7 linked regions of the Coturnix japonica genome follow. The protein of the gene in region 1 interacts with the protein of each later gene in a pairwise test. Links are inferred from orthologs where the notes say so. Each region holds a gene or a part of one and is shown in the gene's direction. Other genes may lie near its edges. The genes, in order: EXOC1, TRAF3IP1, CCSER2, SH3BP5, CEP295, CCDC88A and SRGAP2.

Region 1 (3,500 bases):
TATTCAGTAGAACTTGCACTGTCATGCTGTTTTATTTTAAGATCTATTTAATTGTATTCGAAACAAGTAAGTATATATTCCTGTTAACTAACTTTACATTTTTCATTTAAGAATTACATGGATTATTTATCACGTCTATATGAAAGGGAAATAAAAGATTTCTTTGAAGTTGCCAAGATCAAGATGACAGGCACAACCAAAGAAGGAAAAAAGTTTGGTAAGCTTCTAGGAAGGCGTATTTCTTTCTTTGATTTTTATTATTTACTTAGAAAATACTCATTGGAACATCTTGGGGCAATTTTATAGTGGTCTAAAATTGTTTACTTTTTGCAAGGTGTAAGTTGGGTGAAAAATATGATTGATGGTATTTCTACCTTCCCAAAGGCCAAAGAATTACATTAGAATTATTGTGAAATTGGGCAAGTTGGAAGGATCTGATATTTCTCAAATTTTAAATTTACACTCAAGATTTTTATAAATTACCACTTAATTTTAGTATTGTAACCACCCTATTTTATTATTGTAAGAAATTTGGAAAATCAGCTCTTGGAGGTAGAGAAAGGCTGAGCAGCACATGTGTTTATGTATGTCTTCTGCTATTCTGCTTTTATTAAGGCTTCAGACTTAAAGCTGTTTTTAACACTGATTTTACATGAGCAAACTTGTGTGAGATTTGCTATGTAGTTAAAAACTAGATATCATACTTAATAACTTGTAGGTCTTCCTATTTGAAGGAGTATGTGTTCCTCATAAAGTAAAATGTCTAGTATGAGCATGGAAGTGAAGCTAAACTGAATAAGTAGCAACAACAGTATAGAAATACATATAAATTGTCTGTATTGTATTTTCAAATGAACGGGTTCAAAATGTTGAAGATATTCAATATGTCACAGTTTGCCTGTTTCCAAACTCTGAATTCAAAAGTGAGGTGCAGTTTGAACTAAAAAGTTATTTCAGGCCTATCTTGGGTTGTGTGGATGTTGGAAAATAGAGAAAAGTAATGAGAGTAAGGAAGTGGGATAATGGTGAGGCTTTGAGTAAGAGGGGCGGGTAGCTGGAAGGATTAGTCTTGGTGAGGTGTTGGACATGGAAGACAAGTGGTGCCTTGTCTCACTGTCAGAACAGTTAAATTCCTAAAGCCTGGAAATCTGTCTTACTGGAAGGACCGAACACTTTTATAAATAAAACCCAATATAAAGTGACTTTTAAAACATTATATCCTAGCACTTCATTTGTGATCTGTGTTTGTGATGAAATGGTTTTTGTAGCAGTTATATTCCTGATGTCTGTAAATGTTGTGGCATTTTGGAGAAAGAGGTCCTTCAATTCAGCAGTGCAAGAGCTGCACTTGAGAAGGCTTCTGTTGTGTGTATGTGCAAATTTCAAGCACATTTGAACTTTGCACAGAATAGTCTAAGAAGAAAATAGCAAAGGATATTTTTACCAGTTCTCTTGGCTTGATTTCTTTTGTAGTGTTACGTTTTCAGTCATACAAAGCTGTCTGCTTGAGTTTTGCTGGAGACTGACTCGCATAGAAAACTTGGCCCAATTGTGCAGTCCTGTGAAAACTGGTAGGCACCAATCACAAAGCCAAAACTAGAAGTGAGAACTCCCCCCAAATTCTAATGCTATATATGGAAATTGTGCCATTAAAATGGATAGATAGCAGTGGCCATTTACTTGGGGCAACAAGCTAATTTGATAATGTATTAGAACAGTAAAACTTCATTCCTCGGAACTAATGATGCTTTTATTGGTATCACTTGCAAAGATGGAAAAGCAAATTATCAGTGTTTTAAAAAGCTGTTATATGAATACGGTTTCACTTAATTTAAATATCAAGTTATGTATTTAGTTTGAAACAGCTTATAATGATGTGTAATTACAAAGCATTCCATGTGGAGATAATGATTGCAGTGTGACTGGTTGTGCATTAATTGAAAATATATCACTTCTTATTAGCAAACTTGTAAGAAAATAGTGTAGGTCTATAATGCTGCAGTTGTACTCAGACACTGAGGATGACCTGTTTCCAAGCTGTGTTGGTGTGTGTTCCTGCTTTTTTTTGGTGTGTGTGCTTTGGGAATAGCACTGCTCTTGGAATGCCTCAAACGCAGTGGGGATGCTGGGAGAATTCTGGCATTCTGTGCTAGTGCAAGGTTCTTTGTCTGCATTTTTATGGTGAAAAAAAAGAAATCCAAGTCATAAGCATTCACACTTGTCTTAAATAGTCCTTATTTTAATTAATTATTTTATTTTTGTGATGAAGCCAAGACTTTGATACCTAAATACCACAAAATCAAGTGTGGGGAAAGTGTGCTGTTATTGTCATATGTTTACATTATGTGGCTTCTCAAAAGCTAGTATGATGTCTTTGATTGTCCTGGGCCTGATCTTTGCCTATAGGTTCTTCATGTTCTGTCATATTGTCCCATGCATTTGGAAGCTGGGGACTATGAAGAAAAGGGACAAATGCATGGCATATGCATACAGTAAATATATGTAACCTACACTTCTTTATTCAAAAACTGCCCCAAGCCCGAGATTTAAAAACTAGACTGGAATTAACTTTGAGTTTAACATTAAAATTGTCAGTGGTGTTGGCTACTTGAGAACATCTGTTATTTAAGACGTTTGTTGCGTTTAGAAGTATTTTCTCATTCTGTCACAGTAGGTTCTGTTGGCTGCTCCATTTTGGGGATCCATCCTCATCAAAATATTCCTAATACCACATACTGCTTTTAGTGTATGTATGCAAATGCCTTTTACTGGTTAGGGATTCTCTTTGTACTCTACAGCTGTAAGGAAATTTTTGCAGTGCCTGTTTACTGTTAATTTCCTCTTGAATTTCACTTGAGGAAACAGTTTTATTTGGCATAAATCAGGAAAGGGAAAAAAAAACCAAAAACAAAACACTTGCAATTTTTAATACAAATACATTGTTTTCATCCTCTTCAAATTTGAAGTCATCAGTTTTTGATGCGGCATGAATACAGAGATGTATTCCCAATGTAAGCATCCTGATTTGCTGACAACCAAAGTGGTTAACTAGACCTACTACATATACAAATGGTTTTTGCAGTACTGTGTTTCTGTTCTTATTTTATTTATTTTTTTTAATTGAAGAGGTGGTAAATTATTTCTGACTCAGTATAAAACCATATAAATGCATTTAAATTTCTTTGTCCGGTATCAGTATGTTTGTTGATCTTGAAAACTGAGTCTTTTGCAATATTTACTCTTATAAATCTCTAATTCAAAGAACTTCTCAATTTGGGAGAACTTGATACACTGTATAGGAAAAAGTTCAATAAATAAAGTGTACTGTTTTCCACGTAGCTTAGATTCTCTCAATTTGTAGGATAATACCTCTCCAACTAAATGTGTTTGCCATGTAGTTACTTGCTGCTTATAGTTCTTTGCATGTTTCTTTCCAGTTAGAGCTTAACTTGCATCTTGTGCATGGTTTGTGCAAACTGCATTTTAACTTGTCTTTGTCT
Region 2 (4,136 bases), on another chromosome or scaffold:
CTGGTGACTCAGAATAATTGCCCATTATCCCTTTTGTGTGTGGCAGTTTGATGATAAGCTTAATTTTGTATAGCTATAGGTCACAACTGGTGATGGGCCTTTCCTCTGCCATTTCTCTTAGCTGAAGACAGGCCATAGTAAGAGGCTGTATTCAGGTGTGGCTGTTCATTTCCACCTCTGGAATAAGGCTGTTGTGGTCCTCCTTTTTATAGAGGTGGTAGTGGGTTTGGGTGTCCACCTTCAGTTCTTGTTTCAAAACAAGTACTCTGCAGTAATACCCAGTTAGAGTTTCTCTGCCTAAGGTATTCTTGGACATCTGAGTATAACCTGTGTAACCCAATGAAAATCATAGGAGAAAGAGGATGTTCCCAAGCACACGGTGTCAGGACTTCTCTCCTGAGCACAACACTGCTCTTAGCCACGCTAGAAATCCTGCCTGTGAAAGGCAGCTTTGGGCTCCTGCTTCTGCCTGGTAACACAAAGGCACACAGCCACTGAATTCAGACTTTAAGTGGGCACAACTTTGAAGAGACAGACAGGGTGCTTTCTGTTGTCAACATGCATGTATATTCCCCAGCAGAAGAGTCTCCAGACTAAACCTCAAGCAATCTGTTACAGTGTTAGGATACCTTTTAAATTGCTGTGCCTCCCCTTAGTACCACGGGGACTCATGGAGTCTTAGTGAGTTCCTTGCTTTTGATTCCTCAATTAACTGAGCTGTGCTTCCTTGGGGCACTGCCTCTTCAGCAAATTGAGCATGCCAAAGGTCAAGCTGAACTAAACCCCCACGATTCATTCTCAGGCATTACAGACACTTTCATAGAGCTGGTGGCAGAAATCCAGATCAACCATATGATTCCAACATAAACAACCCTCTTCCCTAGAGCAGCTTCTTCCCAGTCTGTTTCCTCTGAGACCTCTTGGATGTAGAAGCTGTCAACACCTTTTCTTCTTCCTAGGATTACAGGATCCTGTAGTCACAGCCTGTCTGGGAACCTCATTAATTTCCGAGTGTGTCAGTCTGTTGTACTTTATTTAAAGAACAATGACTAAAAATTAATAATCACCAAAAGACATATTAACTGAGCACCGGTGCTTCACTGTTTGATAGTTATTAATACAACCACTGCATTTGACAGGTTGTATGGGATTAGATACTTCTCCTATATGTATATATATATCTGCAGTGCATTGACCCAAGTGCAACACCTCACACTCGGCCTTGTTGACCCTGGTTATATTCACATAACGTAGGCAGGGCCTAAGATGGCGGCGGTGCCTGTTGCTATGGCTGCGCGGTGCTTAGCAACCGCGTGCTGCGGCTCCGAGCATGCGCAGTGAGGCGCGTTGCGCCGCGGGGCAGGCTGGGAACGCTGAGAGCCGGCGGCGGCGCCGTCCCCGCCGTCGCAATGAACGAGGCGGTGGTACGACGGACACAGGAGAGTCTGGGGCGAGTGATCCGCAAACCGCCCTTGACGGAGCGGCTGCTGAGTAAGCCGCCATTCCGATACCTGCACGACGTCATCACCGAGGTGGGCCTCCCCGCCGGCGGGGCTCGGAGAGTCGGCGCCCCCTGAGCAGGGCGCCCCCTGGCGGCTGGGGGTGTAACCCCGCCTGGGGGGGGCACGGAGGGGCGTGGGGTCCCGGCTCGTGTTGTGTGACGCGCCGTGCTGGAAGGCAGCAGCCTTCTGCTCTAATATAGTTATCATTAATGATAAGGCCACGGTCTAGTGCCGCCTAATGCTGTTCTGTAGGAGCTTCGAGTGCCCTTAACTCGATCCTTTTCCTTGTCTTCTCAAGGTGATTAGAGTGACGGGCTTCATGAAAGGGCTTTACACGGATTTTGAATTGAAGTCAGATAATGTCAAGGTGGGTACGAAGCTTCCTTGTTTATTCAGCCTGAATAAAAACGGGCTCTGAGACGTGCTGCAAGGCACCTGCGGTCTTTGAGGTCCCTTCCAACCCGGGTAATTCTGTGATTCTGTGTGTGATTCTTTCCTGTGTTCAGCTTCCATTGCTTTATTCAGGCATGGTGTAGAAACAGTGGGAGGTATGGTGGGCTTTCTTTGGATATGTTGAGGTGTATCAGAATGTTCTGAGTTGGAAGGGACCCCAAAGCCCAAACCCTGCCATAGGCCACCTCCCACAGAACACATTGCCCCAGTGCCCCGTCCAACCTGGCTTTGAGCACTGCCCTTCTCCAGGCAGCCTCACTGTTTCCTCCTAACATCTAACCTAGATTTCCCCTCTTTTAGTTTAAAGCCATTCCCCATTGTCCTGTCACTATCAGACTGTGTGTGAAGCTGGTCTCCCTGCTGTTTATAAGCTCCCCTCAAGTAACAGAACACTGCTTGAGTGTTTCTCTGGATCCATATATATATATATATGCACTTTATACACGCATACAGAAGATATTATTGCTTAATAATGCATCTTGTTATGCGTGTTCTACAACAGTCTTATTACCATTATTACAGCCATTATGAAAGTCTGATTACTGAAAGTAATGCTATTAGTGAAAATGCTTTTCTTAAGTGCGAGGGTGACTCAAGTCTGTGTTTGCTCACCTTCTAGTGCTTGCCTCTTTTGCTAAGCAATGCATGCTGCCTTCTCCCAATACCAGCTAGGCTCAAAACTCGTCACTTACTCATGGCAGATAATGCATGTTGTGTGTTGCTAGTTAAACAGCTACAGCCATTGGTGATTGTTTAACATAGCAACTAAAGCTACTGGCTCGCCTATAGCTAGTTAAATGGGTGGTTTATTCACTTCCTAGGGCTGATAATTGGTTCCGTGAAAAGTAGCTTAGTACATGGTTAATTCTCTTTTTGGAGACCACTGTCCATTTTATTTGTGGATCCAAAAAGCAGATTTCGTAGGCGGGAATTATCTGTAAACTGCATCAAACTGACAGAGCGTGCAGCTGGATGGATCTCAGTGAGTTGTGTTTCCTGTCAGCTTTATATGATGTGTATGTAAACCAGGTTGGATGGGACCCTGGGCAACCTGGTCTAGTACCAGATCTGGAGGTTGGTGGCCCTGCCTGTGGCAGGGGGTTGGAACTTGATGATCCTTGAGATCCCTTCCAATCTGAGGCATCTTATGATTCTGTGATTCCATGAGTCTATGATTATGTGCTTAATAGAATGTTGTGCAGCTGATTCCTCCTGTCAGAGGTTTCCTAACCTTGAGGTGGTGTACGGAGTTATTATAGGATCTCACAGCTATTTCTGAATTGTTTTTCTAGGATAAAGATGCCAAAATCAGCTTCCTTCAGAAGGCCATCGATGCTGTGGTAATGGTGACAGGAGAGCCACTGTCAGTAAAACCAGCACGTGTTGTGGCTGGGCACGAACCTGAGAAAACAAATGAGTTTCTGCAAGCCATTGGGAAGTGTTGCTTAAAAAAGGTATGACATCTCCATCTACATCATTACAGAGATATGTATTTGTGTTATACATTATCAGAGCTCATTTGTGGCAGAGTTTGACACTCATTAGCTACTTTTAATTACAGAAGATATACTGTGTTGGGTTACCACTATAATAACAGATGTATAGAATGTGATCCTAAGCAGAGTTTGAGCCAGGTCCCCATACAAATACATTCTAGATATCCATCTAAAAACCTGTGAAGTGATGAGTGAGAAGAAACTGCTCCTTGAACAGCAAAATACTACAGTATTCACAAGCTGTGTGAAGGTTTTGTCTGGGTAATCTTTGTCTGATGATCTGATAGTTTACACTGCTATTATTTCCCTTCAGTTAACTGAATGAGACAGACTTCTTCCTTGTTAATTGCTTGAGATTGGCAGGGAGGAGGTGAAATGGGCTGAGTTTGATGGTACAGCTTTGTACAGCGTCGTGATGAGATGTAATAACCAAAGGCTGATGTCTGTCCATTCGAGCCAAGATTATTAGCCCTTTGTCTTTACTGTGAAACATAAGCTGGATGTGCACTGTGGAAAAGGTTTGGATTCTAACTAGCTTTATATCTAGTGTTGCTACAGTAGATAAAAAGCACCACCTGTTTATATAAGCCTAGTATGCATGATCAAATTATTGCAAGAGTTACAAAGAGGTGTTTGATTTAGAAGAGCAGAAATATAAGGTGCGTCTCAAAAGAAATAGAAAATC
Region 3 (4,032 bases), on another chromosome or scaffold:
AAGTGGATGAAATGAGCTTCTAGTCCATCTCCCAGCACAATAACATCCATTTAAATCAATTTAGTGTAAAATCAATTGAACAGAACGTCCTCAAGATGGAGACACATCAAATATTAAAATGATACGGAAAGATAGCGCACTCGATCATGGCCAGATCTTAGCCTGTAGTCTGACACTAGGACTGTCAAGACTGTCCTCTTACTTAGGCAGTCAGAAGTTCAAGCTGTACAAGTAATGTGTCCCTTTCTGAAGTTATTCATCACAGCTATGAGTTTTGCATCTTAATTGTTAGGCTACACGAGCACTGTGGCAATTTGTTAGATGTCTGAACACATAGTAGAGGTTCTCAACTCTAGGCTGGGCTATCTTTCTTTTCATATATATACATATACCACCACTTACAGGTCAGCAGACAGTGTATGTGCCTCCCCTGTGCTGGTATAAGTGTTCATGGTCCTCTGGTCTGGCAGAAAAGGGTATTTACAGTGCTGAGGATGAAGACATTACTTGCCAGCACCTGAGAAAAGCAGTGGGAATTTAAGAACACCCTAGTCAGCCTGTGATATAATTTATCTTAATTTTGGGAAGGAAATTGAGAAGTTGGAAGGAAATTTCAGTGGTCATTTCGTACAAAGCAGGAACAAGTCAAATCTGTGCTAATGCTGTTGATGTTGATGTTAGTGCTCAGAAGCTGAGAATGACTGAAAGAGGATGACTGTGCGGTTAAAGCAAGGCCGCCTGACTCAGGAAATCTGAGCTCATTTCCTGGCTTTGCTATCTCTTTAGCTTTGCGCAAGAGATTTAATCTCTCCACTTAGGACTTTTTTTTTTTTTCTTTCTTTCTTTCTTCCTGTACCATAGGGGAACAATTACGCTTCAAGTTATTCTAAGAATAAATCCATTAATGCGACGGGTACATTCAAGTTCAGGCGAGAAGACATACAAAGCCTTTGGCTGTTGCTCCTTATTTTAAAGAAGGCCTTTATTCTGCCTAGGGGGCAGATGTATCAGGGTTCTCACAGGGCCGCACGGTCTACATGCTGGGCTACCTGCAGGCCTATCTGCCTAAGCTCTGACATGCAGCCTGTTGTTCTACCTGCCTAATGGCCCCGTTACGGGGCAGAGCGATGCGCACATCGCACACACCGACGGGAGCGGGCGGGGCTGGAGGGCTGGGCTCGCACCGCCCGCCGTGACGCCGGGTGGGCCGGGGGATGAGGAAGGGAGGCGGCGGGCATGCGTGGAAAGGGCTGAGCGCTCCGGCCCTCCCTCCTCGGGGCCGCCGGGCGGGGCGTTTTGCGGCCGCTACCTGGGTGCGTGGAGCGGCGCGGCTCGGATCGAGGACGGGGCGGCTCCGGCTGTGCCCGGCACGGCGGTGAGTGCCGTGTCCGTCCGTGGCGCTGCGCTGCTGAGCGACCCTCGGAGTCCCTCGGCTGGGGGCGGTGGGTGGCGGCAGGAGGGGGCTGCGGCATCGCCGGCTCCGCAGGCCGTGCGGCTGGAGGCAGGGAGGGGCGGGGAGGGCTCTCCTTGCGGGCTCAGCCGCACCCTCGGGGACGCTGCGTGCCCCAGGTTTGTGCGGGGGGCAGGTAGGAAGCGGCTTTAGGCAAAAAGAACCCGGCGCACGGCTGTTTGAATACAGCAATTAAAAGCAACGCTGAGATGTTCTTCTCCGTGATGTATTTCAGCTGTACCGCGGCTCAGATTTTCCTTGAGCCGTCCGGAGCACGTTAGGCGTGTTGCGCGGTGACACAGCTTTGCTTGCATCACCGTGCCGCTGCCTGCACTTTGACACGCCATGAGCCGCCGGCAGCCGCAGCCCTCAGCTCGCAGCACATCGGCTGCACCGCGAGGGGTGCGTGGGAGCTCGGTGCTGTAGTGCGATCCAGGCCGTACAGCGGTTTGAGGTGAGGACGGGAGCTGTGTTATGCCGGTGCGGGGAGCGGGTTTGTTTCTGTTGTACGTGGGCCTCCAGCCTTGATTTGATGCAGAACAGGAAGTTCTGGCGTTATCACGGTGCTGGAAACACATTGAGATGGCATCCAAGGTCCCTTTTGTTGTGTTTTTATAACGGGGAACGCTAGAGGAATTTCTTGAAACTTGGAAAATATGTTTTCTGTACAGGGTTAGAAGTTGGAAATGCTTCATCATGTTAGTGTGACGCAGTGAGTATTTAATCCTGTTTAGTCATACTGAATGAAACTGACAGTTTCTCAAGCATTTATAGGCTCGCATACCCCTAAATGGTATGGGCCCACCTAGAATGTAATACTTCCAAGCTGAAGAGGTGTCACCAAGCAGATGGTAAGCTGGGATCTGTGTCAGCATACAGCTTGCAGCAGCTACAATGTAAGTTTAATCTTTGCTCATAGTCAACACCTTTCAGAATAGCGATCTCTATGTCTGCGCTCCAGAAATGGCTGAGTGGTGTCTTTAATCATAAGGCTGCTTTAAAAAGTAGGAATGTTTAGGGTTTTGGAGGGTTCTACAGTTACTTTTTGTGCATCATGACACCTTGTGTTTCTGAATTTAATAATTAATATGTATGACTATATGAAACATGAATAGTAATGACCACAATTAACATGATGGTCTCAATTAACATGGTGTTATACTAAGAAGTAATCCTGTTTAATGGAACTGCTCGTGTAAAAGCTTGCTGGAGTAAAACCTATTAGTTTTGGACCTGATCATCCTTTAAGATGGATTGGTTATTTGGAGTAAACCAGTTGCAAAGAAGAGCTGGCACAGGCATTTCTCTACATAAAGTCATCACACCTTCGGTCGTCAAAAGAACATTGTTTGTCTGCAGTTGTTAAAGAATGTAGGTCTGTGGGAATGGAGGAGACAAGAGGGAGCGAAAGGTTACAGCTGTGGCTGTGGTGTTTCCTTTTTGCCACTGTTGTGAATTGTAAACTGCCATCGCCTTAATTAGAAGCTTTCAAGCAGGATTAAATTCTTTGCCAACAAGGATGCTAACAAGATGAAAATACTAATGGTGGTTTTGATAATTAGGTTTAAAATCCTGTATTGTGATTCAATTGAAGCAATACAGAGGCTTATGTAAATCTCTGTATAACTGAACGTGTGTATGTTAAAATGAAATCAGAACAGCATTAAAGTAATTATTCCAAAGGTGAAGCCTTAGTCAGTGTAGGTCTCTGTATTTCTTCTTACCTCTGGGACACATATTGAATCTCAATTCAGAACTTCTGTCAAATTAGATGCAGTTTTGAGGATGCTCAGATCCTACCATTCTTAGCTTAAAGCAGCTTGATTCACAGAGCTGGGTTTTACTTTCTAGCTATTTTCCCTCTGTTCTGAAGGGGGGGATTCAGCTGGAACTCTTCTATTGACAGTACTGTATAGTGAGACAAGAATCCTGGGGCTGGGGGGTGTGTTTCTCTGGTTATGTGGGGAACTGGTGACACAAGTTCTCAGTGAAATGCCTTTTTCACAGCACAGTTTGTTGGGATTTTCATGTGCTCTTAGTCCATGATGATTTGAGGTAGTGTTCTGCAGAGTGCATTTTAATGGCTTTGATTGAAGAGGAAGCATGGCTACTGCTGGCAGTGTTTGCTCTGCTTGCATTGCCTTAGTTTTCTAGCCAGAGGAAAACAGCTGGTGAGATTTTACTTTAATGTGGTGGTTGAACAAGTTTGGGGTCTGGAAGAACCCTTTAATTGCAAACAATTTCTGACTTGCAAAAGAACTCCTATGTTTTAGGCTTCGTTGGCCCAGATGGCTTGTGGCACACTCAGCATAAGTTAAGCTGAACATCATGGGAGTGTGTCCCTGAGTATCCTGGGTTCTCTTGGCTCAGAAATACCACGTGTGGTTTGGGCTCTGTATAGATAGAAAGATTCCCAATAGACTATGAATTTGTGTGATACTTGGTTTCAGTTTGTGAATCATATTAATGATAGAAATACATGTAAGAAAAACTAGACTTTACATAGTAATACTATTACATAGGCTTGTTAATCAGTGTTTTTTGATGAGTTGAGTTCTTGCTTCCAGCTAACATGCATCTCA
Region 4 (3,500 bases), on another chromosome or scaffold:
GGTACCTGGAGTTGGTGGCACAGGTGGCCAGTGAAAGGAGGGATGAGGGGCAGAGATCTTTGCATTTATAATTATGTAAAGGTCATTCTTGGATATAAATGCATCCAAAAGAAAAGAGCTGACAGAATATTACCTGAAGTTTGAGACTAACTGGAGCAGAAAAGAAGATCCTGCGTGAGATCTTGCTGATTTCTAATTGCCAGAGCAATCTGCAGTCTTTTGTGAGGTATGTTCCATTGAAAAATTCTGGCAGGGAGAAGACATGTTTTGGCTCTTGATCACTAGACGTTTTAAAAAGGAAAGGGTGGGGGGGAAGGAAGGAGGGAGAAGGCTTGCTCCCTCTTGCTTTAATTTGGCTTGCAAAGCTCCTTTTGCTATTACACCATGAAGTACCATCTGTTGGTGTAAAATGCGTGGGAGCTTTCATGATGTGGAGAGAAAAGAGACTTCCTGCAGGTAGAACCACTTGGAGAAAAAGGGGGGAAGGAAGCTGTGGAATAAGCAACAGGGATACCCACAACTTTCTCTGTTCTTATCTCTCCATCTTTTCACCATGGAAGTCAAACAGTGTTTACATTCTTCCCTCTACTATCTTTATCCCTTGTGTTATTGATTCTGCCCTTCTGGTTTCCTGGTGTTGCGTTATCTGTCTTACCTCTTTTATTTCTTCTTCTAGAAGAGTCGCCCATTTAATTTTTTAGAGAAAGAAACAGATGTCCAGAGTAATTCTCTGGCTCAGATGATCAGGTTTGTTAAATCTCACTGGCAAATGTTTCTTTTGCAGCTGCTATTGCTGAAATTTGCCTGAAGTCCATCTTTGACCTCAGCTGATGAAGATTTCTTGGCTGAGAGGGACAAAGCCACTTGCGCAGACCTATTTGCTAGATATATATATTTTGTACTGACCCTCCTTTCCATGGCATCTGGGTTGGAAACAGAGGGTAGATGAGGAAAGAGGAAGTGATTGATACCTATGAGCAGGTGTCATCTTCACTCTTGTCTCTGGCTTTTTGAAGGAGATGATCTTGCATCTGTGATGGCCTTGGCAAGGTTTGTCGGTAGAAGCACTGTCTTACATTAGAAAGAAGCGTATTCAGATGGTGTGACCAAAAACTTGTTTGATGCTTTTCCCCCACACAAACTTCATCTGTCCTCTACTAAGACCTTTTTAAAAGCTGAGGGTTTTCACTGACTTGCCTAGAGTAGAACCTAGGCTGTTTCTATCCACATGTCCTGGCAGACAGATTCTATGTTAAGGCGCTGTTCTGCTTCCGTGAAGAAGCAGATGACCTTTTTGTTTCTTCTTGACTGGGTGAAAGGTTTAAATACATCCTGACAGGAGGCAGCTCTCTGTGGTGATACTGATGTGGAACAGCCTTCCAGGTGCTGTAGGATCACGTCCATGTCTTCAGCCTAGCGAACACACTGTGAGCTGTACTCCCTTGGGCAGAGCACTTGGGTAATGTGAGCAGGCTGGTAGCATGACCGTATAAGAGCCACACAGCAGGAGGAGAAGCTTGCCTCCCAATGCTGATTTCCCAGGGAGATGAAGTATGCAGCTTTTTTTTCCCTTCCAAAAAGGGTAACAAATGTGGGCGTAGATATCTGGCTGCAAATTCCGTATTTTGTCACATAGTTTGAGGTGTTTACAATCTGTCATCCCCAAATCTGTCTTGCAGGATGAAGCATTTTTATGGTGTTTGATGTGAAAGATGTGTGAAGTCCACGAGAGGCAGAACACCTCACCTGTTAGAAGACCATGGTGCTGATAGTGCTGAAGTGGTTGATCCCATGCTGATTTCACCCCAAGAATGGATGGCAAGGATTGGCATTTAATTAAGAATCAGCACGTTTCAGTTGCTCTATTATTCTGTAGCTTGCAGCATTTGTAAATTGCGGTTGCCTTGCCACACTACAAAGGAGCAAACCAGGTTTTGTGCAGTCCTTGGAGACCGCATTCTAATTTATGTCAGTTCCATGCTAAAACCAGCCTTGGCTGGCATATTTCACCAGGGAAGGTCTTTGCATCAACCTTGCTTTCTGAGACTTCAAGATGAGAGGCTATAACTTGTTTCTGGGATTCAGGGGAATGTCTGCTATCAATCAGATTTCTTTCTTATTTTTTAAACTTCAAATGTGGATGCCTTATTCACATGTGAAGCAGTTGAAGGTTGTCGTAGTATATGTGTAATCAGATCTTTTAGTTCACAGATAGCAACTTTGGTGTAATAACAAGTGGTGAGTGCAGAGGAGTAACTGTGGCCTCCAGTTTGGCAGCCGACCTTCCAGCTGATGGGGATGTAGTGCAGATTTGGCCCATGGCATTTTTCTGTGAATACTTTCAGGGTTGAAACAAGGGATGCCTGAAGACCGCCTGCTTTCTGCTTACTGTCAGACCAATGGAGAGGTGTCACCACTTCTATTCCTTTAAACAAATCAGTTCTGTCTCTTGCTAAATCCTGTCTGCCAGTGCATTAGAGAAAACAGATTTTCTGGTGCCTCAGGCAGCTCAAATCTGCAAAATGAAAGTACCGTAGACAGAATTACTGGGAAAACATGACTGTAGGATGCTGGCAGGGCAGCCAATGGGACTGCTGTGCCTTAGGCATCTGCCTGCCCTGGTTAGGGGCTGATCTTCAGCATAATGCTCCCCACCTGCATTGTAGTGGACCAGTTCATGGCCCAAAGCTTTTTTGATGTTGAAGTCACGATTTGAGGCTGGCTGTCTCTTTCAAGAGGAAAGGCAGCTTCCTTGTCTTCTGCAAAACAGGCTATAGGGGAGCTGGTGGAGTCACTGCCCCTATAGGTGCTCAAGGAAAGGATAGATATAACACTGAATAGTGTGGTATGGTGGTGATGGGTTGATGGCTGGACTAGATGATCTGAGTGGTCTTTCCAGCCTTCATGGATTCTATGACAAAGGCTGTCTCATTGGATGGGCTGCTTTCTGGTAGCTGGTGCTTCAGATAGAGGGGACAGGCTGAACTGCATGCTGTCTTCTTATCCCTCTGGTTCATCTTCAGCCCCTTCCTAATTTGAGAGATTGTAGATATAATGTTAATAAAAATGGTAAGAAATGGATGCTTGGGTCTTGCCCCTCAACCTCTGTTTTCCTTCTTACAGGTCATGGAGGCAGAACAAACCAAGACAAGAAGTGAGTTGGTTCACAAGGAGACCGCAGCCAAATACAATGCTGCCATGGGGAGGATGAAGCAGCTGGAAAAGAAGCTGAAAAGAGCCATCAATAAATCAAAGTAGGTTTCACACTTGGAGATGAGTTTAGTGGTCAAGTCTGTTCATGGGACAGGGGATTCTGTGGGATTTTGGAAACCTGTGAAAAGATGTTGTCCTTTGCAGCACAAATTGTACTAGAGAAGTTTCCTGGGTGTATTCTTAGTTGTGTTTTAGTGCACTGAAATCTTCCGTAATGAGTGACTTGAGAACGAGGCATATGGGATTAAACAGAAGAAAAAACACAACAAAACAAAACCCTGAAGCTG
Region 5 (3,500 bases), on another chromosome or scaffold:
TTCAGTATAGTCCCAGGTCTAAGTTTGATCAGAAGAAGAGAAGGAGCTGGAGAAGTAAAAGATGGACTTCCTTAAAACTTGGAGATCTTTTTCTTGTTTCTCAAATGAGAATGGAAACATTTTGGTTATTTTCTAACATAAAACCTTTAAGCATACAAGTAGTAAACCTGTAGTATTGATGGTATTATTCATTTGCACCTGATGTTGTAGGAAGAATAATCACTGCGATAAAAAATGGATGAACAATCATCTCTAGTGGAGTTTGAAACTAGAATACTTTAATACCTAACCCTTGTAAAATGTGTATGTTTGCTTTTTTTTTTTTTTTTTCCTATGTGTAAATATTGTTTGGTCCTGCCTGCAACTGAACACTATAAAGTTATTGAGGGCAGTTCATATTGCATTCTCTGCTTTTTTTGTAAATTCCGAGTGTTTTTGCTATAGAATTACTCAATATTAAGTACTCTTTAAAGTACCAGAAGAACTCAGTGGACTAAACTAGTAATTGTCTGCCAGCCAGATGCTCGGTTGGCAGCTGAAGAGGAGGTGAAGCGTTTGAAGGAGCTACACGAGGAGACAGAGAGGGAGAGAAGAGAGCAGCTTGAGAAGGCACATCTGAGAGGAAGTCATGCCTTGAAGAAGGTCCATTTGGCTCAGGTAGGCAAAACAGACATTAAATGTCATACCAGTACCTGTTTTTTAATGCCAAATGTTAAGTAAGCTATAGGTAGGTATTTGCCGGAGCAACTGCAGTTTCAAGAGGAAGATGTTCGGATTTAATAGGGTTTTCAGAATGCTTTTGAAACATGATCAAACTCAGCTTGCTTGTTTGAGCTGTCTGGAGGCCTATAGGGTGATCTTTCACCAAGATAAATTGGAAATATATTTGGATGCAGAGTAGACATTACAAGTCAGCTTTTCTTGTGCCATAGCTCTTCATAACATTACAGTGTCTTTATCTGAAGTATTTGCTGTTTGTTTACATAGTAGCTGAGGTCAGGGGAATCCTCTGTGTCAGTTCAGAGGGAAGTAGAAATGGAATTCTTGTGTTTTAAATACATGACAGTGTTGGAAAAAAACACATTTCTCTTTGAATGAAAAGAGCCTTGACAAAGTTGCAAGTTCTGTACTTGATGACTGTTTGCTGTGCTTGACTTTTTGGTTATAAAGGTGCTTCTGAGGTGAAATGCCTCATGAGTGAACTGCTTGAAGGATTTAGGTAATTAATCACAGAACTGGCAGAACAGTGGTTTGAGTCTTCATTTCATCAACTGCTCATACTGCCATTGTTTAAAAGCTTGTTTACATTATAGCTCTGTGAGACTGAGGAGAAAGCATGTAATGATTTTAAATTGTGTCCAGAATGATGGGTATCATTTTTCAAAGCACCTCTGAGAATGTCAGCCACCCTAAATCTCACTAATGTCCTTTGAAGAAAATTGAAATCTATAGACTCGTTTTCAGTCCTCCTCCATCTCTGACATTTTACAGTTCATTTTACATTGGAAAATAGTGCTTAAAGTATTCATTCAGCGGTTGGTGCTTCTCTCAGACTTTCCTCACCTTTGTATCCCATTCAGACAAGAGGTGTAATGACCTTTTGCTACCCAGTACAGCAAGAGGTGGAGATAACATGAACTTACTCTCCCCCAACTGCAGGGGCTTCTGAATGATGCTGTCTGCAGCACCAGCTGTGACCTGTTAGGAGGACTGCTTCTGCAGTGGAAAGGCATACACTTGTATTGTAAAAGTCTGGAAATATGGAAGTCATTTCCCCTGAGAAGTGAAAGCTCTACAGCTACATTCTGAGGTGTATTGTCTGTTAGTGTCACAAATATTTGGGAAATTAGCATTTCTACATTGGAAGCGCTCTTGTGTTTAAAGGTCAGATAGGGTCTTCTGCCAGGGAAGCACCTGCTTCCTAGGATAAGATTAGTTTAATTATAAACACCTCAAGTTAACTTCACGGTATCCAAATGGAAGTATTTTATCAGTTCTGATGCACTGCTGTCTGAAAGTTAATGCCGAGTGCTTCTCACCCCTTACTTGAAGGACAGGGAAAGGCTACTGAAAGAACTTGAACAAATGCAGAGAATGGATCAAATGCGCAGAAGGCAGATGGTAGCTCAGATGCCACCTCAACTTTTTGTACCTGGATATAAACGCGTGGAAATGAAAGAAGACTGGCAGAGAGAATTGGAGTTTGCCTTTGAAGATATGTACAACGAGGACAGAAGTGAGTAATCTGTGGGAGGATTCTGACTCTGGCTGCCCAGCAGATGAGAGGCTGCTGCAGCTGCGTGTTCCCAGGTACAGCAAGTAGTGAGGGTGCACATTTTTTCCTGGTGGGTGTGCTCTCAAACAGTACAGATGGCTTCATCCTGTTCCCTGCTCTGTCTGAGCAGGATGGAGGCCTATGGGAAGTACATCTGCACAGTACTGATCCCTCCAGAAGTTACTTTGAGACACTGTCAACCCAGTATCTTATCCCTGCATCCCAGACCTACCCAGTTGCTGGCATCTGAGCTTAGAAGGTGCTGAGGCTCACAGCCCTACTCCAGCTTCTTGTGCTTGAGCACCCTTGTTTACAGATATGCATACACATACCTTACAGCACTCTCAGCTCAGAATGGATACTCTGGTACTTAAAACTAGATACTCATTCTGTCCAGTAGCTGATCACAGACCTTGTAGCCTTCCATTTACCCTGGAGTGTCCATACATGCACTGCTGTGCTCAACATGTGCTATGGATCTCTTAGTAAGGTGGCTTTAAATAATCATTCTACCCAGCTAGTGCTGGTTCCTTAGTCTCCCCAGCAGCTGGCGTCTGGACACATGAACTGCTGCTTCACTCCATCTCTTGATGCACAGATGCAGCGTCTATGCAAACACGTACACATTATCAATGCCAGCAGTAACTGACCTTGGATCCTCTTGTCTCTAGTTGTCTGTCAAAGACACGTATGTACTTATGCCAGCAAGTTCTTGACTGAGCCTGTGAGTATTTTATTCTAATTGGTCACTTTTTTGTGTTTGTGTTCCTCTAATTAGAAATGAAAGGAGACTTGATTTTGCAGTTTGAACCGCAGCCTTTGCCATCCCCTTCTGATAAATCTCAAGATAATGATCTCGATCTCTCTTTGGAGCAAGAATCTGTTTGTGACGGCCAGCAAGAATCGGGACAGATGGTAAAGGAGGAGGTCCCCGGTGAATCAGAAAGTAATGCTTTCTTGTTCTGTAGTAGAAGAAAAGAGATTGTATGTTAGTATAAGCTAAAATGTTTAAGTACCAAAATTCCATAATGTATACGAAGTGTCAAAGTTAAGTGGTTTATGATGCTCGCCACTGATGATGAATGTTCTGACATACAAGTTTGAAGTAGAAATTGCTTTTTCTAATACACTTCAGTTCACTAGAATACTGCAAATAATTATTTTAGCTGCAAGAACAATAATGTTACTATAGTGTTTTCTGTGTAACTATTGCATATGATGAGAT
Region 6 (3,500 bases), on another chromosome or scaffold:
ACAGAAATTTGTACCATTTCTTGTTCAGTATTCAAAGGGATGCCAGGGATTGAGTCTCTGTTAATAGTCTTTTTCCTTCTTTTTCTATGTAAGTGTATAACTTTCTAGTAATAGAACTTATTTGTAGCTGAATGCATGCTTCAGCTCGCAAAGATGAAATGCTATCAGTTCTACTTTTTCATAAACTGCCTGTTTCTTGTACCTTAGAATCTAGAATTCTCATCCTACTATATAATGTTTTTGGACAGCTTTCTACTTACTAATTCTCTGCCCATTGGTCTTCTGCTCCAGTTCCTGATTAGATCTAATGCTGTTGTCAATTGAGGAGTCTCTTGCAATTCTCTTCAATCTGAGTTATTTTTCAGCAGTTGAGATTAAGAAGGAAAGAGTTTATGGCTGCTTCTATTTTATCCTACAGCTGGCAAAAGCGGGATGTCTTCCAAATTCTGAACACATGTACAGTGACAGCAGCTGAAAACTGATTTGAGTGTAGCCTTCTAAAATCCTATTTTCTAAAAGGTCTAATAATGTATTAGAATATCCTGCACTGACAGTTTCAGGAAATACTGTTATAAAGCAATATATCTTAAATCTGGTCACTTCTCTCCAAAATATGTGATTGTTTCTTTAGGTGCCCTACAATATTATAAATATACCAAAAAAAGAAAACCCCAAAGGCCTCTTCACATGTCAGGAGTGGTAACAGTCTTAAAATAGCAGCAGCTGGGCTGAGTGAGCAATTCACACACTCATGCATCAAATGAGTATGCACCTGCAAAGAACCGTTCTTATCCCTAATGCCTCCTCTATTGGAGCAGGCAGGAAATGGGAATTGATGAAAATCTTGCTCTCCAAATACTTCACATTTGAATTTAGTTGCAGTCCCTGCTGGATTTGCTGGAGTGCAGCCAGAAAGGAGGGTGCTGTCAGCACACCCGCACACTAATTCTCCCAGTAGTCAGTGCCCTACTGTTGTGGCTGAGTATTGCTTATGTGTATCTGTTGCCCTTGAGCCTGCTGCTTCAGAATGTCGTGAACATTTAAAGAACCTGAAGTAATTGTTGAAATAAAAGCATATATATGGTTTTTTTTGGTGGCATGCTTTTGAATAGGTACAAACTTTTGGAGTCAAAATTGGAATCCACTCTTAAGAAATCTCTTGAGATAAAAGAAGAAAAAATTGCTGCTTTGGAGGCTCGTTTAGAAGAATCAACAAATTTAAACCAGCAGCTCCGTCAGGAACTTAAAACAGTAAGGAGAATGTCTTCTTTTGCGTAAGGTTAAATGAATCATATTCCAGCTACTGTTGTTGTTTCTTACTCTGTGCTTGGTATTTTTGTTTAAGACAGCAAAAAAGATGAGTAACCTTGGGGTAGCCTAAAGCAGGGCAAAGGTGTAATTGCTTTTTAAAGCTACAATAATACAGGTCCAGAATTGAAATCACATGAAAAGAAGTTGAAGATCATTGAATATGTCAGTTAGATAAATATTCTGAGGTCTGTTTGACTTGGGATGCCAAAAAAAGTTAATTCTTGTTAAGTTACTTTTCCTGAACTACTTTGAGCCTGAATGGCTAATCAAAAAAAGAAATAGTCTCTTTGGTTGTTGGACTTCATTATGAAAGCTGAGAGATACAACTGAAAGCTCTAAAATAAAGTCTCCTTTTGGTTTGTAGTCATATTTGTCGGCTTATTATGGTTGAGCTATCAGTATCCATACATCATTTTTGCAGTATCTCATCAAATGTACACAGAAATACAGAGATATAGAGCATTTTTTGTACTCTGGAAAGTGGTACGGTTGTATAATAATATATGATATAGGAAATGGAAAACTGTAAACTGAATGCAAATTGTCCTAAATAATTTCAGGTGAAAAAGAACTATGAAGCTCTCAAACAAAGACAAGAAGAGGAAAGAATGGTTCAGAATCCTCCTCCAAGAAAGGGAGAAGAAAATCAGTCAGTCAATAAGTGGGAGAAAGAAACCCAGGAAACTACTAGAGAGTTACTGAAAGTTAAAGATAGATTAATTGAAGTGGAAAGGAATGTAAGATGTGCTTTTTCTGCTGTTCTCATTTGAAATGTTTGTCTTGAGCTGTTCTAGTAATTTGAATAAGGATATTCTTAAAGAAATGTGCTATTTATCACCTAATTTACAGAATCTGTGTTGTATTTCTTAGCACAGCTGGGTCTTGTGATGCTATAAAGCACTTGACAGGCATTTAAAAGGGGAAAAAAAATGTATATCTGAATTTTTCCCTTTTGAATCCCACAAATCACTCATATAATCTTTATATACACGTCATTGAGAGTTCCTTACTGTTTCTCCATTGGTAAAATAACAGCCATTATTTCAATCTTCAACTGTAGCGATATCATTGTATGTTACTTTTGTAATATAAGGTGATACGGTTTTATTCCACTCTGTAAATATCTGTGAATGTTGTAAATCTCTTCCTTGCTGCCAAAGTACAAAGGATCATAGTAGTGTAAATCACGCTGCTTTATTTGCTTTAGAGGAAGTGCTGTTTCTAAAGTTCCATAAAAACCTGTGAACTCAAAGTTTCTTTTGTGTTGTTGCTCAAAGAATGCTACGCTCCAAGCAGAGAAGCAAGCACTGAAAACACAATTAAAGCAGCTGGAGACACAGAATAACAATCTTCAGGCTCAGATTCTTGCACTTCAGAGGCAGACTGTCTGTCTACAGGAGCAAAACACAACTCTACAGACCCAAAATGCAAAGCTTCAGGTAATATTTTCGTATTTTCTTTTTAAAAATAAATTCAATTCTGAGTTGTTTTTTTTTTTTAAGCTAATGGCAACAATGTAAGTCATGTTTTGATTCTGGTGTACATATGGAAGAGAAAGGAATGTGCAAATAATATGCACTAAGCACAATCAAATGATATTTAGTGATGATGGAGAACAAACTTTCTAGGAGTTGCTTTTATTACCTTGTGTTTCTCCTATTTAAACTTGTGGCTTTATAATCAGGCGTAGAGTAGGTTCTCTTAATCTGCCTTTTAATATATATATATATAATTTAATTTATTATTATTTCTTTTTTAATTCTAAATTAGGTCAAGGAAGTAGATGGTGTGTCCACAGAGACTACTAAGTTATTCTATTTTTATAGCTGGAATTTAAAAATAAATAAATAATCATACCTAAAAGAAAAAGCAAGGTGTTACTTATCAAATACATGGTTTGGGGCTTTTTTTTCCCCTCTGATAAATAAAATACGCTTCTTAATGGATTGAGTATGTTTTGGAGCTCTAAAAATCAAAACTACTTGATGACAAATTTAATATAAAGTCTGCAGTTCAGCACAGATAGATGCCGAAAAGTGATGAAAAGTGGGCAGAAATCAATGAGTGAAGGAATCCTTAGGTGTGTGAACAAATAATGTATTTTGTGAATGCCTTGAGTCATCTTTCTGTCTTCTGCTGTTGCACCCCGGATGCACTTTCCATCTACCACACTGAAATCTAATTAGCGC
Region 7 (3,500 bases), on another chromosome or scaffold:
TGCAGTTTATTACTTCCACCAGAACCCTTGGTGGCAGTTAATATCAAGGATAATGCTCTGGTTCTTAGTGCCCATTTATTATCTGGTGCATTATTAAGATTATAGGCGAGCTTTGGTAATTCCAGTCACATAATGGATATAGATAGCTTCAATCTGAGGTTTGCCCCGTCATTAAATCTAATTATATACAATGGGGAGTTTTCCATAGGGAGCAACTCCTTAAGTGGGCATCTTCTCTTTTGTCACGCAGACAAACAGTGGCATATCTGCAGTGACAAATAGTTTGTCCCAGAAACACCCCCTGCAGTTCAGCACGAGGTGTGTGCTCCTGCTGAGCATGGTTATGATGCTCACTGCCCTCTTATGTGTGAACCGAATGCAGTTGGGCTTCAGTTGTGAGTTTACTGCTGAACCCATGTGATGTTGCACTCAGTAGAGGCTGTGTGAAGCTCTCACCACTCCAAGAAGCTGAGGTTTCTATTAGAAGCTTCCCTTCTTGACTGCTGCCTTCAGGGAGCTCTGCCTCGTTGCTGTTAGTGCAGCTGGGGGAGGTGGGATGAACTCTGTGCTGTGTAAATCTTTTCCTCCAGCTGAGTTGCATCCTTCCATCCTGATTGTTTTCTCCACTCTTCTGATCTTTCTTGCTTGTTTCTTTGTCACCCAGGTGAAGATCCTTTGGCCGGGGATCAGAATGACCATGACATGGATTCAATAGCAGGAGTTCTGAAGCTCTACTTCCGAGGGTTGGAGCACCCTCTCTTCCCCAAGGACATCTTTCATGATCTGATTGCCTGTGTCAGTAAGTATAGAGATAGGAATGAATAGATTGTGAAGACTGTATTGTGGATTTATCTGAGACAAAGAATAGAGCAAAATCCTCCACTTCTGGGGAAAAAAACCTGATCTTTAGGACCTCTTATCAGGAGGTGTGAGAAATGCTGTTTCAGAAACAGAAAGTGTTTCCAGCAGGGTTTCCTCCTGGTGTTAATAGATCTGCTGCCTGTGTGCTGACACTCCTGCGTGCTTTGTTCAGCAAGGCAGTAGCCTTCTGTCTTTGGCTTGGTAGCCACGAGGGGCCATCTATTGCCTCTTGCTACAGAATTCCAATCACAAGGGCAGTGGCAGTCCAGTTGCTGACATTTTTGGTTGTTTTTAAAGGTGGTGGGCAGGGGGTCGGTCTGTGTTTTGGTACTGGAGTCACCTCATGTTACACGGCCTCACTATTGCCATGTTGCTTAGAATGAAAGAATGATTCCATTGTTCTGGTGGTGAAATGGCCTTTGCAGTGGCGGCCTTTGAAGCAAAGCGAGAGATAACTGCTTCTAAAATGACTTGTGATTGTCTTCTCCTGCTAAATGCGTTTACAGAGTTGAATTCACATTACACAAGAAGAAAAAATCTGCTTCCAAATAAGCTCCCCTTTCTGGGATGATTTATGCTGCCCACTTGTTTCTCAGTAGGCTGCTGCACACAGAGCGTTTTGCCTCACCCCTTAACTATGTTAATTCTCCTTTGAGTGTTGTACGATTTCTTCTTCTGAACACCCACCTTTCTAAGCTAACTTGAATGAGCTTATTGTGCCAGAGCTATTGAAGGAGATGACATCCAGTGCTCCCACGCTAGGAAGGAGCCTGCAGTGAGGTTTTCTGTGTTTTGGGCCCATAATTGCAAAGGCATCACATGCAGGACCTGCAGCCTTTGGCAGGGAGCTGGTGAATCCAGGAAACAGGCTGACCCTTGTGATATGCTGGCTGCCTGTTTTAATATTTCACCTGGGAAGCATCCCATATACTGTCTGCATTTGGACTCGGTGGCAAGTTGGAGATGTGGTGATAACTCAGTGATTCTCTTTCTTCCTTTCAGCAATGGATAATTTGCAAGAGAGAGCTCTCCACATCCGAAAGGTGCTTCTGAACCTCCCTAAGACCACTCTGATCATAATGAGATACCTCTTTGCATTCCTCAATCAGTGAGTACCTGCTGCAGAGCCAGCCTTGATACCGCTGCAATCTGAGCAGCAATTTAAAGTGCAGGTGTCACTGGATGACTCCTGCATCTGTCGTCCTGAGCTTTTGAGCCTTGCTGACGCTCCTCCAAATGTTAATGCCATCTCAAAGGAACTCCAGCAATGGAAGTGAATAATGTTGCTGGCAAGCTAAGCAAAAAGTGATAAGGAGAGATCAGAAATTGCATCCCACACCACCAGCGAGAAGCACCGTGTACTAAATAGTGTGATTGACATTACTGTTTTTTAAAGGTGTCCATCACATCTGGTGGGTTTGTTAGGCAGCCCAATGCAATCATAGGATTCCTCAGGTTGGAAAAGACCTTAAAGATTATCAAGTTCAACCACAACTTCCTTCAGCACTGAGGATTTGACACCTGGGGTAACATGAAAAGAAAATGTCCTACCTGGGAGTTAGCACGTTTAAATACTTCCCTGCTAAAGTTGGTAGTGTTGAGTGATGCTGCTGTTCTTCATCACACTCATCTTAACAGCAGGAACGAAGAAAAAGGAGAGATTGCATCGGGATGTGTTTTAAATCTGTATAAGGTGGCTAAACTATAAACGGGGATTTGAGCAGGGCTGGGATGAAATCAATAAGGCTGTTAAAATCTCGTTGGGGTTTCTATTTCATCTTTTTGTAATGCTGTCAGTCTGTCTTTTCTTCACAAAACCCCAGAATATTCAAGTGCCAGCAAAGCAGCTTCAGCAGCAGGAAGCCCAAAGCCAGCCCTACTCGCTCATCTGTGTTCTCCAGCAGATGATGGTGGTGGTGATGATAACGTTTTCTGTTGTTAATCCTCCTCCCCACATCTGTCTCTTGCAGTTTATCTCAGTTCAGTGAAGAGAATATGATGGATCCCTACAATTTAGCCATCTGCTTTGGGCCAACGCTGATGTCTGTGCCTGAAGGTCACGACCAAGTCTCTTGCCAAGCCCACGTCAATGAATTGATCAAAACCATCATCATCCAACATGAGAACATCTTCCCAGGACCGAGAGAGCTGGAAGGTCCAACGTATAGCAGAGGTGGAAGCACTGAGGATTACTGGTATGATGGGTTCCACCGTGGGGAAAATGAATGGGTGCATGTTTGCTGGCCTGAATGCTCCAACCGTGCATTCTGCATTGTCTTAAACGGGATTCAGGCATCTAGTCCAGCCTCTGAGATTCAGTGTAATGCAAGTGAAGGTGTCTCTGGATAGTCATTAGCTTAGAAAGTCTCTCCAGTCCTGGTTTTGCATTCTCTGTGTAGAGTGGCTTTAGTTCAGAGGAAGGATCACTTGCAGCCGAACCCAGAAAGCTGTGGCACAGTCGGGTTTTCAGGGCAGCACTGATGGTGGGGGGAGGGAAAAGAGAGGAATGCAGAATCACCATTTCCATCCAGCTTAAAGCTCGAGAGGCCTGGCCGCATGTTCAGTCTGAAAGCAACATCTGGAAGCAATTCAGCCAGCGCGGCTCCTGTCATCTGCAGGGGAAGGTGGGGGAGTGGGGG

What was found.
Region 2: the proteins of EXOC1 (region 1) and TRAF3IP1 interact in a two-hybrid assay, tested with the Homo sapiens proteins (2 studies listed by BioGRID and IntAct). The link is inferred for Coturnix japonica from reciprocal best matches to the Homo sapiens genes EXOC1 and TRAF3IP1.
Region 3: the proteins of EXOC1 (region 1) and CCSER2 interact in a two-hybrid assay, tested with the Homo sapiens proteins (2 studies listed by BioGRID and IntAct). The link is inferred for Coturnix japonica from reciprocal best matches to the Homo sapiens genes EXOC1 and CCSER2.
Region 4: the proteins of EXOC1 (region 1) and SH3BP5 interact in a two-hybrid assay, tested with the Homo sapiens proteins (2 studies listed by BioGRID and IntAct). The link is inferred for Coturnix japonica from reciprocal best matches to the Homo sapiens genes EXOC1 and SH3BP5.
Region 5: the proteins of EXOC1 (region 1) and CEP295 interact in a two-hybrid assay, tested with the Homo sapiens proteins (2 studies listed by BioGRID and IntAct). The link is inferred for Coturnix japonica from reciprocal best matches to the Homo sapiens genes EXOC1 and CEP295.
Region 6: the proteins of EXOC1 (region 1) and CCDC88A interact in a two-hybrid assay, tested with the Homo sapiens proteins (2 studies listed by BioGRID and IntAct). The link is inferred for Coturnix japonica from reciprocal best matches to the Homo sapiens genes EXOC1 and CCDC88A.
Region 7: the proteins of EXOC1 (region 1) and SRGAP2 interact in a two-hybrid assay, tested with the Homo sapiens proteins (2 studies listed by BioGRID and IntAct). The link is inferred for Coturnix japonica from reciprocal best matches to the Homo sapiens genes EXOC1 and SRGAP2.

The regions. Positions count from the first base shown.
Region 1 is NC_029519.1:58,594,265-58,597,764, reverse strand, and holds part of EXOC1 (exocyst complex component 1), read left to right. Parts: intron 1-111; coding exon 112-217; intron 218-3,500.
Region 2 is NC_029522.1:3,293,141-3,297,276, reverse strand, and holds the start of TRAF3IP1 (TRAF3-interacting protein 1), read left to right. Parts: upstream 1-1,336; 5' UTR 1,337-1,409; coding exon 1,410-1,532; intron 1,533-1,800; coding exon 1,801-1,869; intron 1,870-3,247; coding exon 3,248-3,409; intron 3,410-4,136.
Region 3 is NC_029521.1:365,817-369,848, forward strand, and holds the start of CCSER2 (serine-rich coiled-coil domain-containing protein 2), read left to right. Parts: upstream 1-1,232; 5' UTR 1,233-1,375; intron 1,376-1,685; exon of another isoform or gene 1,686-1,904; intron 1,905-4,032. UniProt on the Homo sapiens protein: Microtubule-binding protein which might play a role in microtubule bundling.
Region 4 is NC_029517.1:38,182,618-38,186,117, forward strand, and holds part of SH3BP5 (SH3 domain-binding protein 5), read left to right. Parts: intron 1-3,123; coding exon 3,124-3,254; intron 3,255-3,500. UniProt on the Homo sapiens protein: Functions as a guanine nucleotide exchange factor (GEF) with specificity for RAB11A and RAB25. Inhibits the auto- and transphosphorylation activity of BTK. Plays a negative regulatory role in BTK-related cytoplasmic signaling in B-cells.
Region 5 is NC_029516.1:166,208,461-166,211,960, reverse strand, and holds part of CEP295 (centrosomal protein of 295 kDa), read left to right. Parts: intron 1-516; coding exon 517-657; intron 658-2,052; coding exon 2,053-2,236; intron 2,237-3,053; coding exon 3,054-3,221; intron 3,222-3,500. UniProt on the Homo sapiens protein: Centriole-enriched microtubule-binding protein involved in centriole biogenesis.
Region 6 is NC_029518.1:7,440,475-7,443,974, forward strand, and holds part of CCDC88A (girdin), read left to right. Parts: intron 1-1,112; coding exon 1,113-1,251; intron 1,252-1,871; coding exon 1,872-2,048; intron 2,049-2,588; coding exon 2,589-2,750; intron 2,751-3,500. UniProt on the Homo sapiens protein: Bifunctional modulator of guanine nucleotide-binding proteins (G proteins). Acts as a non-receptor guanine nucleotide exchange factor which binds to and activates guanine nucleotide-binding protein G(i) alpha subunits.
Region 7 is NC_029541.1:2,704,039-2,707,538, forward strand, and holds part of SRGAP2 (SLIT-ROBO Rho GTPase-activating protein 2), read left to right. Parts: intron 1-664; coding exon 665-799; intron 800-1,863; coding exon 1,864-1,969; intron 1,970-2,831; coding exon 2,832-3,056; intron 3,057-3,500. UniProt on the Homo sapiens protein: Postsynaptic RAC1 GTPase activating protein (GAP) that plays a key role in neuronal morphogenesis and migration mainly during development of the cerebral cortex. Regulates excitatory and inhibitory synapse maturation and density in cortical pyramidal neurons.